2 linked regions of the Xenopus tropicalis genome follow. The protein of the gene in region 2 interacts with the protein of the main gene of each other region in a pairwise test. Links are inferred from orthologs where the notes say so. Each region holds a gene or a part of one and is shown on either strand. Other genes may lie near its edges.

Region 1 (2,632 bases), on a different chromosome or scaffold from region 2:
GGATATCTGAATGTCCATCAGAAGAAGGCTAAGATCTGAACATGTATGGCCACCTTAAAAGCAGTGGTTAACCTTTTTAGTTAACTTTTAGTATTTGATAGAATGCCCAATTCTAAGCAACTTTTGGTCTTATTTATTTATTTTATAGTTTTTGAATTACTTGTCTTCTAACTTTTTGCAGCTTTTAAACAGGAGTCACAGACTCCGGCAGCCAAAAAACTACTGCTCTGTGAAACTAAAGTTTTATTGTTATTGTTACCTTAGTAAGGCCTCTCCTATTCATATATCAGTCAACCAAATAGCTGCTGAAACTCCAAACAGGAGAGCTGCTGAACAAAAACTGAAATAATTAAAAATAAAAATAAAATTGCAAATTGTCTCAGCATATCACCCTCTGCATCATAATAAAAGTTTACTTAAAGGTGAACCACCCAATTAAGGCTGTGCTTCCTGCTTCATACTATTTAAAATATTATAAAAGAGTTGTCATAATTTATGGATCAGGCATAAATGGTGCCTATACCATGCTGTACAGTTAGCAAATATGCATATATCTACACACACCCACACAGCAGCAAACTATCTAAAATACAAAAAGACAACACATATAACACTTTCTTTTTTTATTATCTTTTACCAAATATATACAAAAGCAAAAGGCAGCTGGTCAAATGCACTGCATACAAAACTAAGAAGCATCATATAATCCCTGCTTTCGATTCTACCAGTATCATTCTGAGTACTCAAAATGGGGAATTTTCAGGGCTGCTGGTATGATACCTGGAACATGCCACTCCCTATTAAAGGCCCAATGTAATTAACTCAATGTACTTTTCTCTGGCAGGATATGGCTTAGCAAACCCAGTCTTGGTAACAGAAGGAGGGGATCAGGGGCTTCCAGTCAGACATTTAATTTTCAAAAATGAACCTTTCTGAGAACAATTGCATTTCAGTTCAGTAAGAGCCACACAAATTGGATCAGAACACAGTGGCAACGTTTGTTTGATTCTTGTAATTCAGCATGGGTTTTATATTGTATTATGAATGCATAGCCATTTATATACAAAACCGTACAAGACTTATCAAGAACTCAAACATAAGGGTGCTGGAAACAGACGGGGAAAAACCACACATCCTCACAATCGTTGTGCATCTGAAGATGTGCGTTGTGGCATTTCCCAATAATACTTAAACAAAAACTAGATGACTAGATGAAATTTCTATATTACTTTACGTGGAAGGTATGACAAACCTGGCACTGTAATGTAGTGCCATGTGTTTAAACCAGAAATTACATGTGAACAGAGGATAGGTGGAGGTCTTGGACATTAGGGAATAAAGAACAAAATAGTTTTGTTTATACACTCTAAGTATACTCAGCTTGCAAATTGAAAATAATCACATTATTAGGAGGAGATTCACACAGTTTGACAAGCTGCTAAATAATTGTGCGTATCAGAAGTCTGCCATTCAAATGGTAAAGACATGCTTTAATACCCAAAAGAACAGCATAAAGTGACTAAATGTTGCCATTATAGTAGAGCTCACACTCTGCTCAGCTAGCCACTTGCTGCAGCTTCGTCTTTATCCTGCTTCAGTCTGTAATCTGCCAGGGCTGCTCTGATGGCATCTTCAGCCAGCACTAAATAAAATGGAAAAAACATAGGCACAAAAGGTTACAAGAGACAAATCAGAGATGAAATAATGTGCAGAAGAGTTAGATAAATATATTAACTAGTTCATAACTAATACAAGATGTTTAAATAAAATATTTTTCAGTCTTGTTAACTGTGGCAGTGAGTTAGTTAAAAGCCTCTGAAACATTCCCTGCACCTTGTCTTTGGTTGCTTGTTGACAGTATTGCTGCAGTAAACAATATATAATGAGCAGTGGGATATAAGCCTCCCAACTATGCCCTTTAGAGTGATGGCACCCCAGAAAGTCGCCCGCCCAGGATAAATATGCAATCAAAAGAAATGCATACATTTTCCCACCAGCAATCTAAATTATTACATTAATGTTGCCCATGGTAGTGAAGATTTATTTTGAGCAACTAATTTCCGTGTGTGCCATCACTGTTAAAGGTGACAAAAAAATTCCCTCTTCCCATGTTTTCACCTACAGTGCCATCACCACATGAAAACTCCACTGCCTCTCCTATGGAATTAGAGTGACACTTCAAAAAACAGCTGTCAAAAAGCTTAGTCAGTGTGTTATGGCACCTTTAGCACTATTCTGTACACCTCATTGGAAAAGTAAATGAAAATCTACTTTGGGTCCTAGTGAAGGATTCCTAGTGAATCTATGCACCTGATCATAGAAGCTGCTGAGACAAACATTTTCTGCCTAATCTATAAAAAGCATTATTTTTACATAAAAATATGCAGGAAATATGATAACATTCATAAGTCTGGTAATACAGAGCAAAGACCCTTACTGGAACAGTGCAGCTTCACTGGTGGAAGGCAGAGTTCTTTGGCTATGTCTGTATTCTTGATAGTCATAGCTTCATCAACCTGTGTTTAATATAAACAAATAATACAATATTAATTAGCAAAAAAACAGGCCATTACTTTACCCTAAACAGTCTAATGACTCCTGTCTAAGTGTATATGACTTGCCTATCTGAATA
Region 2 (3,661 bases):
AGTAGCCTAGCTACTAGCTAAATCATTTTGTAATGCTGTTTTTTTTTTTTTTTTTTGCATAACTAAACATTCCTTTACAAGTCCCCAGATATTAAATTTGACCCAGCCTTTTTAAAGGACCATTAATGTAATGTGCTGCGGTGTCCTGCGGGCTTCTACTTTGAAGGTCATTAACATGCTAAATTCTGATACAACATTTATGTTGTCTCGAAATACAATATGTGAAACTTAAAAAAACAATGTATAGAAATCTATAGCCAAACTTCTGGAGAAAGCTGTAATTTCTTTCATGCAGGAAGGGGTCTGAGATACAAAGCAAACAGGTTTCTGGGGGCGAATGGCAGCAAATCCATTATTTACTGTAAAAAGCTGGCAAACAGACAATTCCAGAGGTTCTGTCTATGTTTTGTATTTTTCTTTACCATCTTCACTTATCACACAGATATGCTGAAAAGGAGAAGAAAAGAAAATAATTGATAAATACTTGCACCCAGCTCAGATAATCACAATTTTCACCTCTCTGAACTGCACATTATAATATGGATTACTGTGTAACTAAAGCCCATCAAAAGATTAGCCTAGATGTGCGCCTTATGTATAGTTCATGAAACCTATGGTTTAAAAAAATAGGGATTTACTAAATCCACCACTTTTGGATTCCACCAAATAAAAATATAAGGATATTAAAGAACACAAACCGAAGCTGAATATTTTAATTTGAGTGCAAATATCTGCATAATCCATCCACCCAGCAATTTAAAGTCATGTGACAATAAGATTCAGTTTGGGTCAGAATCTCAGATTTGGATCACTAATAGCACAACTTCTGGAATATATTATTTATTTAAAACAACATCAGCACATGACAATGCATCGGGTATGAAAGAGAGCGTAACCGATGCATTTCTATCCTTCGCAAAGAAAAAGCACAACAAAAAAAGGGATGCAGAGCCCCCCTCCAAAAAAATGTATCAAATCTCAGCTCATAAACCATAAAACTGTTCCCCAAGTAAAAACACAGAAACAGGGAGAACAGGAAAATATATATATTTGTACCTCCTGAGAAGCCTGGTGGCGGTATGCACAGAGGTTATCGTCTCTCCCAGCCCATGCTCCCTGGCTATAGATTGGCCAAGGCATCTTTAATGAGTATCGATCACTTTTTGGCGACCTACATTAGCGTGTCTCTCTGGTTATATGTATTTTTGTACTGGACTTGTGACTTTCATTGGGACTGTCCCTTCATAATTGGGTGATACCTGACTTCTACACATGCAACTCAGGCATACATAGAAAATTCTAATTATTGGTCAGACTTGAGAAAGTGGCCACAGCCTGCTGGGAGAGTGGGACAACAGTAAGCCATAATGACTTCCACTTGGAGATGGTTTGCCCCCTTTCTATGTATGCTTACATGGTCTGAGATTGCACGGGTTGCATCATGTGTCTGGGGTGACTGTGAGATCAAGTTGCTTGTATGCTTACAATATATATTTTTCCTGTTCTCCCTATTTATGTGTTTAAATTGGAGAATGATTTTAATTAATAAAGGTGTGCTTTTAAATGGTTATGACCCAAGATTTGATTCATTTTTTGCATCCCCTCTTTTGGGGTGTTTTTTCTTTTTCTTTGCAATTATATTTTTTCCCCCTGAGAATCAATTCACCCCACATGGGGGGGGGGGGGATATTGTATGCTCCTAACCCTGGGTTTAATTCAATCTACTTGATATGTAGTTAAATCTAGAGATTTAATCCCCACAAGTGTGTTTGTTATTTTTACATTTCTATCCATCACTGGGGACCCAATGTACTAACAAGCATGCTGGGTAATATAGTCAAGCAGTGAGCAGACAATAATGTAAAGTACACTGTGCAAATCCTATAATTACTTACGTTCAGGTCTCTGAAGTACTCGTTGTAGTCTAATGCGTAACCAACAACAAATTTGTCTGGCACCTCAAATCCAACAACTACAAAGAAAGTTTAGAAAAGAAAATAACGCAAAAACAGTTGTCTTTTTAGATAACAATCACATTATATAGCATGTGCACTTGTTTGCTGTAATAGTAAATATGTGACATTGCTAAACTACTTACAGTCTGGCCTGTATCCCACACTTCGTGGCGTTCTTTTTACAAGCAAGCTGTTGAAAAAGAGAGATCAGAGATATGGCATCAGGTAGATTACAGAAACGCTTAATTATTTTCTACATTCCGACTCCTAAAACAATGTAGCAGCATCTGGCTGATTAACAGAACTGAATGAGAACTGACTACATTTACAAAAAATTATACTGAAAAGTTGAAAACAATTACATTGTATTTCACTGTGCAAGTTTTTGGGTGGCAATCCCCTTTAAGACTTTTACATAACATGCAAAGTATGTCAACTTACTTATGTTGGATTTCAAAAAAATAAAATAGTCAGCAGCAAATATTAAAACAAAAAGCTTTACTTTTCTTTACACTGTGTTTTCTTTGATTCTCCAACGGTTCATGTCTTTTCTAAATGTAATTTTGTCCCTGATGCCTTTATCCACACTATTTCATTTTACTGTCCGATAATGAACTGTATGATCACTGCAGGGTTCCCTGGCTGTAATCACCCTTCTCTCTCCAGTCACTTTTACCACATGTTCACATTGCAAATTCTATTCTCACCCTTTCCTTCACATACACAATATACATCTTGTTACCTTTGCTTTTACTCATATAAGCACTGATGTCCTTTATCTAGTGTTCATGTTCACACAAGGAATCAAATTGAGAAATTCATTAAACATTAAATTTAATTTTTCTTCAGCTTCGCTCTACTGGAAGGGATTCCAGTATTTATAAAAGGACAAAGATTCTTTCACACAAGATATATTTAAGGGGGAAATTCTGTGTGCTGCCATAGAAGACTGAAGGAAAGACAATTTAAAGGTAGACACAATATTAATTCTTTCTGTTACATCTCCTTGCAGCACATACCAGAGAAAAAAATAATTTTGGACAGGTTAATCGATTGCCTCCAAAACTTTGGGATCAAAAACGCCCCAACTAGAAGAGTGTATCTTATTTGACAACAGTATAAATGCTGTGCATTACAATCTGGTTTATCTGCTCTACAGAAGCTCCTACTTTTTCTGCTTATGACGGCTGCTGATGATTTCATAGAATATTTTCACAACCTTCTGGGAGGATCTAACTGAATAGATTATACATTATTCATACCAATCCTTGCCCCAGAGGGGTCCCTATTGCATTTACACAAACACACTAGGGTCAGTTTTATCAGATGATGCTGTGTTTCATTACATAAAGAACACTAGATGAAAACAATTTATAGGGCCGTCCCTTCTATCCTATTAAGGCCTAAAGACTTCTTTTTCAGTTTGTGCTGATGTGAAGGCAGACGGGAAGAAAACAGGCCCTTATAAACTGCTGCATTGTGCTCATAGCAGAGAAATACCTATGCTGTCAGTTTTATGGTGTCTTTCTGTACAAACTATGAGCAATCTAAGTTGGTTCTGAAGCAGATGTGCCTGTACATTTTATTACCGCTTTCCCGGCTAACATTATAGCACATCTCTTGCTCCCCAAGTCTTCCTAATACCCCCGCCCCAATAAATTCTATTACTACCATTGACCCCTTCTTCCTGGCTTCTGGTGGATTTT

What was found. The genes of interacting proteins can lie anywhere in the genome.
Region 1: the proteins of hprt1 (region 2) and iscu interact in binary tests that used the Homo sapiens proteins (3 or more experiments, as listed by UniProt). The two-hybrid records come from large-scale screens. The link is inferred for Xenopus tropicalis from reciprocal best matches to the Homo sapiens genes HPRT1 and ISCU.

What each region holds. Positions count from the first base shown.
Region 1 is NC_030677.2:146,320,224-146,322,855, reverse strand, and holds the end of iscu (iron-sulfur cluster assembly enzyme ISCU, mitochondrial), read right to left. Parts: intron 2,517-2,632; coding exon 2,438-2,516; intron 1,643-2,437; coding exon 1,560-1,642; 3' UTR 619-1,559; downstream 1-618.
Region 2 is NC_030684.2:68,454,727-68,458,387, reverse strand, and holds part of hprt1 (hypoxanthine-guanine phosphoribosyltransferase), read right to left. Parts: intron 2,146-3,661; coding exon 2,099-2,145; intron 1,973-2,098; coding exon 1,896-1,972; intron 448-1,895; coding exon 400-447; 3' UTR 1-399. UniProt on the Homo sapiens protein: Converts guanine to guanosine monophosphate, and hypoxanthine to inosine monophosphate. Transfers the 5-phosphoribosyl group from 5-phosphoribosylpyrophosphate onto the purine.